Linked DNA regions of Bombyx mori. The protein of the gene in region 1 interacts with the protein of each later gene in a pairwise test. Links are inferred from orthologs where the notes say so. Each region holds a gene or a part of one and is shown in the gene's direction. Other genes may lie near its edges. The genes, in order: neogenin, E3 ubiquitin-protein ligase TRIM9 and kalirin.

The links.
Region 2: the proteins of neogenin (region 1) and E3 ubiquitin-protein ligase TRIM9 interact in a two-hybrid assay, tested with the Caenorhabditis elegans proteins (2 studies listed by BioGRID). The link is inferred for Bombyx mori from reciprocal best matches to the Caenorhabditis elegans genes unc-40 and madd-2.
Region 3: the proteins of neogenin (region 1) and kalirin interact in a two-hybrid assay, tested with the Caenorhabditis elegans proteins (2 studies listed by BioGRID). The link is inferred for Bombyx mori from reciprocal best matches to the Caenorhabditis elegans genes unc-40 and unc-73.

The regions. Positions count from the first base shown.
Region 1 is NC_085108.1:233,751-237,995, reverse strand, and holds the start of neogenin, read left to right. Parts: upstream 1-1,423; 5' UTR 1,424-1,723; coding exon 1,724-1,808; intron 1,809-4,245. Other genes in the region: mediator of RNA polymerase II transcription subunit 16, read right to left, coding at 452-629, 1,068-1,129.
Region 2 is NC_085118.1:10,863,310-10,867,721, reverse strand, and holds the start of E3 ubiquitin-protein ligase TRIM9, read left to right. Parts: upstream 1-1,601; 5' UTR 1,602-1,881; coding exon 1,882-2,562; intron 2,563-2,809; coding exon 2,810-2,905; intron 2,906-3,843; coding exon 3,844-4,077; intron 4,078-4,412.
Region 3 is NC_085107.1:16,321,804-16,325,459, reverse strand, and holds part of kalirin, read left to right. Parts: intron 1-457; exon of another isoform or gene 458-642; coding exon of another isoform or gene 643-697; intron 698-891; coding exon 892-1,118; intron 1,119-2,054; coding exon 2,055-2,158; intron 2,159-2,552; coding exon 2,553-2,704; intron 2,705-3,218; coding exon 3,219-3,439; intron 3,440-3,656.

The DNA.
Region 1 (4,245 bases):
CAAATACTAAGTTATGAAGAAGTTACAAATATGAGTAAATCATATCTGTAAATCATGAGTAAATCATATCATAACCACAGTGAAATCAATTACTGTAGATCCTAAAATATTGATAATATGAACAGATTGACATTTGATAGCATTAATGTAGATGTGTGTAAGGTTTAAAGAGTCTCACTGAATATTTCTCCAACATAATGATGGTAGGCAATGACGATCATCTGACACTGTTTATCATCTCCCGTAATTGTTTAACTCTTGGTGAGTGAGCTGGTCTGTTCACTTATGCGAACAAAACCTGGCCACATAGGGTTCTAGTCTACTATTTGATATGGAAACTCATTAATAGTGTTAATACATAAAGAGCTCATTTGGTTGTAAAATTATACCACTTTTGAATAACTGATCTGTATCACATAGTTTCATTATACTTTTACTATTTCACACTTACAGGATAAGCTGTACTTGTAACTTTGTGACTGTTCCATGGGGTATCTAAGTCACATACATACACATGACCTCCCCATGTTGCTCCGTCCACATCACTAAGCTCTGTCGGTGATGAGAATGCTATGATATTTGCACATGATATTGTACATATTGGTCGGACTACTTCAGAGTCTTTTACACTAGAAATAGACAACATTATTAAGCATTGAGTTTATGTAACACCAAGAAACAGAAATAATGTTTTACAAACAGAACACAGAACGCATGGGACTATTTTAAAATACTTGAATTTTATGTAGATGTGATAAGTTCTAAAGTCAGCTCTTTTTATAATATACATCCATGAGCTGAGCAGTCTCCTATTACTTTTCTCCTTAATTTGTTATTTTTATCCTTTTAGTGTTTTCTTATGATGGAAGGCATCATGAACAACGGTAACTTAAAAAATAAGTTGATGTTACTGCCGTTAAAGATATCTTAATTTGTAAACTCTTGTTGCGAGGAGATGGTCACGACCCTCAGTATTGAGGAAACCGAAGCAAGAAGAAGAAGAATTTGTAAACTTTAGTAAATTTGGATAGAAATATAAACTTTTGATATAAATTTAAACTATTTACTTTTCGAAGTGCGGAGGTTCACATTTAAGTGGCTTGCGTCTCATAGAGTATATTAGCTCCATTACAAACTACCGCGGACTGCGGTTAGCGATTTGTGAACGAAATGTTTAATGTTTATTAAAATACGCATGTAAAGCAGGTTGGAAATTTGAAGTTAATAAGATTGCAAAAACTTTATTTGTTGATACCTATCACGTCAGTTTTTAAAATGTGTCAAAATGACAATAACGTTTTATTATTGCTTGGATCTGAATTTATATATTTATTTGTGGAAGTACCAATTGTATGTAACGAATGATAAAAGGATTATACGTATTTTTGGTTGGCACGGATTATATTTATTTTTTAAATGTTTTGTCTCCTAGCGATTTCGAATTTCATATTGTATGTCAGAATTTCCATTGCCAATTCCATTTCTCGTTTGACAGAAATCAACGAAGTGTACTAACTTCAGGGCGCTCCGTTTCGTCCCGGGCAATGCCCTTTCAATATCGAATTGTTTCCGAACGTAAGTGGACATGAAAATGGCGGATCGCGTAGTATCGCTCCGAATTCGTTATCTGTGAACTTTAACATAAATATTTTTGATTTTATGTGAAAATGTGATAGTTATGAATTAAAACCTCTAGTGCAGTGGTCTTCTATTGGTTTGAACCATGTTTCGGACAGGGATCGTAGCTTACGGCGTGAGAAACTGGATATTCTTGTGGCTGTCGCTACATTTGTTTACATACGTTCAAGGTAGGCTCCTTTCATGTAAAATACGGCATTTATTATCGATCCATTGTCTTCAAGTAACTGTGAGCTTGCCTGCACATGCCAAGTTAAAATATTCGAGAACTTTGGCATAAGTCATTTAAAATAAGGAAATTATTTACATTTGGATTTAGTTTCTGAAGCGTTTTATTTACTATCTTGCAAATCTACCTAATTTAAGTTTAGTAAGTATTTATGTCTCTCTGACGCTTTTAGAGCGGTTGTTAATAAAATTTATGAGGATGTGTACGGCTTGGGCGCGGTATATATTTTATTACTTTTGGACTAAAGTTATGAACTTTTAATAGAAAATATGTCTTCTTCAATAATACTTTCTGTTTTACGGTCAAAAGTGAAGTTTTGTTATTTTTAATTATTCTGTTTTTTTCTCTGGATAATTTTATTCGATCCTTTGGATTTTTCTGATTTAACTTTATAATTTTGTACTAGTATTACTACATACATAATTATACTTATCCAACGTCTCGTATATTTTATTAAATTGTAACTTTTACCTGCCTATTTGCTGGTAGTATAAGGGGCTATTCCAACAACACACGGACGGGATACCTATTGTAACACACACTCGACAATTAATGGCTGAAAAAACAAAAAGTATTAACTTTCAATATGTGATCGCGATATATGGGATCTTATGAGATAAAATTATAAATATGTACATATTTTATAAATTAATGCAACTAAAATTGCAATGACTTGAAGTCGTCGTGGCCCAAAGGATAAGACGTCCGTCCGGTGCATTCGTGTCGAGAGATGCACCGGTGTTCGAATCCCGCAGGCGGGTACCAATTTTTCTAATGAAATACGTACTCCACAATTGTTCACGATTGACTACCACGGTGAAGAAATAACATCGTGTAATAAAAATCAAAAACTCACGGGAATAAAGTGTGTCCATATTCCGTGCTCTAAACCGCTGCACAAAGAAATTTTCAATAATAACACTTCGTAAACAGGATTTAGTATCGGGTCGTGCTCGCGTGAATACCGACCGGGCTTTTGGTGATTTTATTGTAGTCGTCAGGGCTCCGCTGTGGGTCGGCCGCCAACTGAGAGAGTTGGCCATTTCTTGGCTAAATGGAGTTGTCTTATTAATCTATACTACTGAACCATGCATTCGATTGACTTGAAGCTTGGTATCCATGTAGAAAATATATGTACTTAATGGATAGGCTAATATTTATATGAGTGTTGGACTCCCCAATAATAATGACCATAAATAATATTACGGTTTTAAATAACAATAAAACCGATATTATGTGCAGAGAAGGAAAACATACAGCACTGTATTATGAAGAAGCCGTGTGTACTTAGCTTAAATTCCTTGTGTATTATGTATGTGTAAAAGGCGCACGAATTCGGCCCTACAGTGCCTAACAGTTGTATTGTATTGAATTAAAGAAATTGCATAAAATATACCTTCTAAATCGAGGGCTGGGTAGCCCTGACCGTGGCAACGCAATGCTCACAGAAGGAACAGTATTGGGCCGCCACGGTAGTTAATTCTATAGCCGTCTTATTGCCCTAGGAAAGTCTGAAGATTCATCGCTAATCATCTGTCCCATTCGGAGCGCACTCTCCTGAGATAAGAAACTCTGAGGGACTTCCGACTCTATTGGTTGTGATCCTTACGTTTTTATGAATAACTAGCTTTTGCCCGCGACTCCCTCCGCGTGGAATAGTTACTTCGACATAACGCTAAATTTTACCTGCGACTTCATTTACGTAGGAAGTGAAAATATTTTTGAATAATAGAATGTTTAGGAGCTATTTAAGGTGCCAAGTGATGTTATATAGCCTTTCTCAATAAATGGGCTATCTAACACTGAAATAATTTTTCAAATCGGACCGGTAGTTCCTGAGATTAGCGCGTTCAAACAAACAAACTCTTCAGCTTTATAATATTGTTAAAATAAGTATAGATTATCGATTCCTTACTGCGGCTAAACTATAGACTCTCGCAACAGCAGAAGTGGGAATCCCGCTCTGGTCGGCAGCATTCAACCTTACCGTATGTTAGATGCAGTGCAAGTGTTGTGCCCGTAGTCAATACTGAAATACTCTGGTATCTACAGACAATACAATAATTTTGTTAGTTCGCTCTGATATCCTGACCAGGATCAACCAGGGTCAAAAAACTATTTAACCGTTTTGTTTTTTGTTTTTAAACCACATGTATTATTTAACTTAATCATTGCACAAGTGCCATTCCTGTGCGAGATGATTATTTGACAATTGAAATCGCGAAAACTGAAGAGATTACATTATACAAATTTTTTGCAAACGATGTGGACGAGAGCACGGCTCACATGGTGTTAAGTGGACACCGAAGCCTATAAACAGCAGCAACATAAATGCGGCCTTTCACCTTGAGGGTTGAGTTCTGATTTTTTTATTTTTT
Region 2 (4,412 bases), on another chromosome or scaffold:
GTCGGAGCCCCGTGGTTCGTCAGGAACGTCGACCTCCATGACGACCTGGACTTAGAGTCCATCAGTAAGTATCTACAGTCGGCGTCGATGCGCCACTTCGATAAAGCCACGACACGAGAACCCTCTCATCGTGGCCACTGGTAACTACATTCCCGATCCTGCGGAAAGAATGGAGAGCAGTCGACGTCGCCCAAAACACGTCATCTCGGATCCTCCCGATCCACTAACGGTGCTTCTAGGTACTTCAAGCACCGGTCACCGTTCTCGCCGAACCCGTCGCTTGCGACGAAGGGCTCGACGAGTAAATTAACTCTCAGACACAGCCCACTGAGTTTCTCGCCGGATCTTTCAGTGGGTCGCGTTTCCGATCCGGTGGTAGATTCTGCGAAGCACGGCTCTTGCTAGGGTTCATGTTAGCAACGTCGTCAGGTTTGAGCCCCGAGAGCTCACCTACTAGTTTAGGTTACGCTGGAATAGCCTCTCAAGGCTACCAGCTTAGGTAGGAATAAAAAAAAAGGTAGGGCGTCATGAGCCCGGATGGCTAAGTACCACCACTGTGCCTATTTCTGCCGTGAAACAGTAATGCGTATCGGGTTGAAGAATAATGCAGCCGTTGTACTGTAAGTTTAGACTTAAAACTAATAACTCAAGGTAGGTAGCGGCATTTTAGTTGCTAATGTATACGGGCTCCGGTAACCACTTAATAACAATGGACCGTGAGCTCGTCCACTCATTTAAGGAATAAAAAGATAACCTAGTCATCCACTCTATCGTAAAAAAATATTACACACCTTATATATTATGCACGGTGTAGCAAACTTGGCGTTATATCAGTTTACCAAAAATACCACTCAAAATAATGCATCGTATGTACTGTTTACATAACAAAAACAGCTTATTTGTTTCTAAACTCATAATTATTTCAATCAATAGAGATAAAATGTAAAGTTACCCGGTGCTTTTAGTTGAAAATTTGTTGTCATTGAGGAAACATACTTTAAAGTGCCTTATTCACGATCCATCTTGCTGTACGTCCCGCCAAGGCCATGCACGATGCACGATGCAAAACGATCATGAATAGGCTTGACGTACGTCGATAATTATTATTAATTGCGGCCTTGAGCTGACGTACAGCCGTGATGGATCGTGAATAAAGCGCTAAATGCATCGTGCATCGTGCATGGCCTTGGCGGGACGTACAGCAAGATGGATGGTGAATAAGGCACTTAAGGCGCTTAAGTAATATTAACACAAGCGTGGGTAGGTTTATATTGTATTTCTTAACAATAGTTGCATTTTTCGTACACAGGAAAGGCGAAAGCATGACGCTGTACACTATAATTTTTTATTTTGTTTTAATGATATTTTCTAGTTAAATGGTGTGCAATAGGGTGGAATTATTTGTATAAAATTTATTATGGCATGAAATGGAATGAAAATTTTATATGTAACGAATAAAATGAAATTAACAATGAAATTTGAATCAGTAAAATGTACGGATTTTACTTACAATTATTACTTAAGTTCCTACAAAAAAAAAAATTTGTATAAATTTTGGTCATCCTGATTTCACCCAATAATAAAGGAATAGACCGGCGCATCACAACATTTTCCATTTTATTCATTCGGCTTGGTTTAAAGGTCTCGCATCAGAGCCATGCTGTTTAAAAAAGTTATCAATTGGTCGGTTTTGAGTTTTTGACGTCTGTTGACTATTGTATCTTGGAGTTGATATTTTTGATCGGTGTTGTTGTAACTGTATTTTGTTTGTTATTGAAATTGCTACATTTTTATCTCTTATCATGACTAAAACTCGTACGAAATTATTTTGATGACGACATTACATAGTTAATAAACGATAGTTGAATTTAAAAATACATCATGGAAGAAGAAATAAGATGTAATGTTTGTAAAGAATTCTACAGAGAACCCGTGCTTCTACCTTGTGGACACGCTGTGTGTCGGGTCTGTGCAGAAAAGTTGCAGGTTCACATTCACGATAATGAAGGTTCAGGGTCGTCTAATGATTATCAAGAAGCGGATAAAGCATCAGTGTCGAGTGAAACTGACAGTGGTGTGGTATGTGGATCAAGGCCTAATAGTTACGCGGGAACCCCGGCTGTGCCAGCATATTCGTCTGCTGCATTCAGTATTACATGCCCTTCGTGTAGGAAACTAGTTTACTTGGATGACAACGGAGCTGATGGACTCCCTCCATTTCGCGTTATGCGAACAATTGTTGAACGTTTCGGGGGCGTCACTGGTGCACCGCCTGCAGAAGAAGCATGTCAAATGTGTGAAGGAGAACGTCGTGCAGCTGTTGTCCGTTGCGAACAGTGTTCAGTGAGATATTGTGCTGCATGTCGTGATGCCTGGCATCCTACTCGTGGTCCATTAGCACAACATGAATTACGGGCTCTAGGGACTACTTGCGCTGATCATGGTTTTCCTCCAGTACAATATTGTGTAACATGTTTAATTCCCATCTGTCAACGGTGTCTTACTGAGAGACATTCAATACATGAAACACAACCTTTAGCAACAGCAGCAAGGACTCATAAGGTATTTATTATATATAGTCTACCCATTACTGTTATATTAATTTGGTGAAATCTAAGTTCATTAGCAAAGAAAAAGTACTTAACCAGCTACCTAAGCTGGTTAACTCTGCCCCTGGCGTTACTAATTTCCATAGATGACGGTAACCACTCACCATCAAGTGGGCCGTATGCTTGTATGCCTACAGGGGCAATAAAAAAAATTATGGCCAGGCATCTTTTGTTACTTGTATGCTATTTGTTTTTTGTAGACTGAATTATCACAATCCCTGCAGCATTTATCAGAACAGGCCAAATCCATGACAGACCACATACAAAAAGTAAAAGCTTCTGGTGAAAAAATTAATGTAAGTCTAAATATTAAATATATTCTTAATAATTATCTTAGTAAATATAATAATTATTAAGACATATTTAAATCCTACTATTAAATAAACACATTCTTTAATTAAACAGAATAGTGCATATAATGTAATCAATTCTTTACTTATCAAATAAACCTTTGAATCCCTCTAATTATAGATATGGATCATTCACTCTAGCCTCTTTAATTCTATTAGCTTTTTTAATACAATATAGTTAGAATTTAAACAACTAAGGGCACTGACATTGGAGAAACAGCAACCTAAACCTTCTCCAAACTTATATACTAAGGTACACAACACTGTGGTATCTAAGGGCATCTCGATGCCTCCAATGAACACTACGCTAACTCCAAATTCGTAGATTTACAGGAGGATCGTTTAAACGAAAAAAGTTGATAAAATCTTTATTATTGCAGATATATTTATGTTTTTTTTGCGTAACTAGCTGATTTACTCTTGCTTCGAACCCCATCAATAATGATTAATTGTACTTTTTACTTACTTTACTTTTTACATAGTGAAGCGATTTGCGTGAAAAATGCAAATTTCAAAATTTTGAGTTAGAATAGTGTTCATTGGAGGCATCGATCTGTAACTACTGGACATCAGGTTACCAGGAGTTCAAAAGTCATTATAGTTATTGATATGATGATCATTAAGAAACCATCATTCACAATACCTCTTGTGCTTCTATAAATAATCTGTCTGTTATCTAATAAATAAATAAAATACTTTTCATCTGGGCTGCTGAGTACATTATATTGAGCCACTTTTCCTATGAAGTTTTACCGTCATTGTATCATAAACTGACAAAACAATTGAAAGCTTGTCAGCAAAATATACAGGATTTATGCAAAAGAATTGCATTTAAACTGCATGACAACTAAGCATACTCTAATTAAAATAAAGAAATCTTTCAGGAATCTTGTGAGGAATTGGAGAAGCAAATTGACAATGCATGTGCAGAACTAACTTGTGCCATAGAAAGACGACGAGATGAATTAATTCGTGCAGCACGCAGTACCAAATCTCAGGCAATTGCAAACATGAGATCTCTTACTTCGCATGCTGCGCAGAAACTAAGAGAAGCCACTGCCCTGCTACACTTCTCTATTGAAGCATTAAAAGAACCAGATCAGGCTGCATTTCTTCAGGTAATACAATAAATGTAACCACCAATCATGTACACCAATACAATCAATTGAATCAATAAAAAAAAGGTATAAACCTGATTACTACTTAATTTAAGTCCTCAAAAATGAATATAACAGAGCTAGTAGTCAAACTGAACCAATAGATTTTTTTTAATTCTGTATTTGTCAAATTTAGGAATAAGAAAGAAAATATATCTATAATTCCATTTTTTGTATCGAAATAATAAAACACAATAAAAAAAAAAGAAATTTGGTGTAAAAACATGATCTATAGGTTGAGACCCCAAGAAAAAGACAAAATTATACACAAATTTGTATTATGATGATGAGCTGAT
Region 3 (3,656 bases), on another chromosome or scaffold:
TACTCTTACGTCACTGGCTACCTAAGACCGGGAATTATCCCTACATCGTAATTGAGTTACATTACCGAATGTTTACATAAATGCCACAAACAAAACCTATAATCGGACTTTGTAATGCCATCACGAGCAACGGTAATCACTTATAATTACGCGGGATGTGGGCTCAGTTTCTCCGAAAGCAAAAACAAAAATAAAATGGCACCATCATAATTACGATTTACACGAGCTACAACACTTTTTGATGAGACGACTGAATTGTACAATAACGTTAAAAATGGACGTAAGAAAATTTCTTATCATCTTAACTTAATGTTTCGATAACTTAATGTTTCTTTAATGTTAAACTACCTTCACTAACTATTACTTTAATAAAAGTGCATAAAATTTCGTTATTAATTTATTCATTTGTCTAAATAAAATTTAAACTGAAGGCAGCAGAGTAACTTGTTGCATTAGTTTAATGTAATGAATTGTTTTAGAAAATGGTTAAACAGCGGAAAAAGATATTTATTTGTTGTCCCACGGTTGAATGGTTTGCCGTCGGCGGTCGATTGAATAACTGTTGAGTTTCAGTGTTACTTCACAAACAGCGGTGTTATAACAAGCGAAGGAGTGCTATTATAGTTTGTTTTGAATTTTACAATGTGTTTTGATTGTCTTTGGTATTCAAATAAAAATGGTATTGGATTAAAAAATGGTATGTCGAAAATTCCATTTTGTTTATCTTGAAAGTTACATGTTTTCATCGGTTTTTTAATTGATAATTGAAGTCTTGATCTGTACTTCTTAAATAATATGTATATGGTAAATATGATATTGTTATGATGCCAAACATAGTTGTAATCTTAAAATGTGTTCAAAACATATTGAAAATATATACTTTGTAAACAGGTGAGAGGGTGTTACAACGATTAGAAGTGGCGGAGGCCGCGTGTTCCGAAGCTAGCGGTAGTGGCGCCGAAGGTTCTGCTTTCCACTGCGGATCGCCGGGCGCCGTGCGAGCTCAACTTTCGGCTGTGCGGTCCGCGCATGCGCATGCCCATAAACTTTGGCAACACAAAAAAATGCAGCTAGATCAGTGTTTTCAGCTCAGATTATTTGAACAAGACTGCGAGAAGGTAATTTTCTTTTATCAGCTATAAAGTTAAATTGTAGGTCTAATTGTAACGTATTTACCCTTGAATATTTCATACCTGAATTAACGCACATCGTCTTCTCGCAATAAAACTGTATAATCTCAAAACTTACTAATTTTACAAGAAAGTGTTTTTAAAGGCTTAATATGAGTCGTCTATTATCAAAGGTGGAAATCTATGTATTTGGACAAAAAATAATTATTGATATGTCAATTCAGATTGATTTGAATATAATCGTCTCCTTCAAAGAATACGGTTCAAAACCTGCATTAAATAAAGGTTAATAGTTAACCTGTTATTTATCTAAGATGTCGTTCAGAAGAGTTTTGTGACTGCCAATGGAATACAAAGTCAATAATTCGTTTTTCTGATTTTCCAATGATTGTCCAAAAGTCACATTGCCGGCTTTGATAATAGTCGACTCATATGTAATATTTTTAATATTAATCATATTTGCAATATTAATTTTTTATTTTTTTCAGTTACATTATCTGTTTTTTAAATAAGATAAAATTATGTATTAATTTTGTTAACAGTAGTCAAAACATAGGTAAACTAAAACTAAACTACGCTCTTTTGACAGTATTTATCAGAAAAATACTGGTGATACCAAATGTTTACGCATATTAACTCAATACAAAAATTTTCTTTGGAGATTGTACACTTTTAATGCGAAAAGGCGACATGATTATGAATAAAAATAAAGATTCATTGCACGCACTGTATAAGTGCAACTTTCAGAAGAATTGTATCATTCTCTCGTAGTCTGAAATCCTATAGTGTTTCACTCTTTCTGTGATAATTCCTCGTTTTATCGACTTTAAAATCGCAACGGTCTTAAAGATTTTTCACCATAATTGGTATTCACTTTTAAACACTGTAAGAAATGAGTACTAGTATAATGTTTCAAATGCGCAGATGTTGGAATGGATCGTGAACCACCGTACGGCCTTCTTAGCCACGTACGTTGAGATCGGACGGTCATGTGCGGCCGCAAAACGTTTACAGGAAGAACACGCTAGGTAAGTCTAGACATTAGATGCACAAGGACGTATCGAATTTTGCAAAAATCAATTGAATACCTCTTCCTAATCCTTTGTAGTTTTTTTGCTCATTACGTAAGATCTAGACTCTATTTTTAGAATCAGTATGGATTTAGTTTATCGCCAAAATGTTTATAATGCATTTGGAACAATTGCGATTTGAAATGTTCAATATGAAAAGTCTTAATGACGATAAATATGTTATCGATCTTGCAAAAAGACCGTTACCTTGAATTAAAATGTATCAATCAGCATTTTAAAGTAATGTTTAATTAAAAGTAAAACTCACAATTCAATTTGAAAATTTCGTGTTAGGCTTAAAATGAATATGCGACTGAGGTTTTGTGATGTTTTAATTGTGGATACGTGTTAGATTTGCAGCGGCGTGTACTAGCGGCGGAAGGCCGAGTGTCGCACGTGTGACGACAGCCGCGCGACGTCTCGCTGACAAGAGACATTACGCTGAAAGTCAGATATCAGCATTAGCACAAAGACTCGAAAGAGCTTACAAACAGTTGGCAGCCGGTAAGATAATTTTAATTGACAGTTTTTTATAACCATTTTCTATTTTATTCGAAGCAGAAAAATACCTTTATTTTAACACCTATCTAGATGTTAACCTCATGTATAAAAGCGTTTAAGGGTATTCATGTTATTGTCTACGGGCTTTAATGTGTTTTTTTTATTAATTAGGTGGGTGGACGAACTCACAGCCCACCTGGTGTTAAGTGCTTACTGGTGCCCATAGACATCTACAACGTAAATGCGCCACCCACCTTGAGATATAAGTTCTAAGGTCTCAAGTATAGTTACAACGGCTGCCCCACCCGTCAAACAGAAACGCATTACTGCTTCACGACAGGAATGGGCTGAATGGTTGGACCTACCTACCACCAGTAAAAATTTGAACAGTAGTGAACTTTGGTCTTATGTTGATTGACAGATAAATTTATAACATGAATATATTATATAATCTATATTACTTACCGTCTCATATTGTATCAGTATAAATGAGATTTAATAAAATAATATTCTCAAGGTCTTGAAGAACGTTCTGCAGTGCTGTCACTGTCGGTGGTATTTCATCATAAAGCTGAGGCGTACGCTTCAGCGGTGGGAGGGTGGGGAGCGCAGTGTGCCGTCGCTCTACAACTAGCAACGGGTCAAGGAGGAGCGCCTTGTAACGATCCGAGGGCATTAGAACAACACGCCCAGAGACATCGCCAACTTTACGAACACATGTGTCAGGCCTACACTGAGGTGAGGAGCGGTATTTGTGTAACGACAGTGAAGGCAGAAGTTTTTTTTTTATTGCTTAGATGGGTGGACGAGCTCACAGCCCACCTGATGTTAAGTGTTTACTGGAGCCCATAGACATGTACAACGTAAATGTGCCACCCACCATGCGACATAAGCTCTAAGGTCTCACCAGGTGACCAGACTTTACCAAAGATAACACCCTAATTACATTGTAATG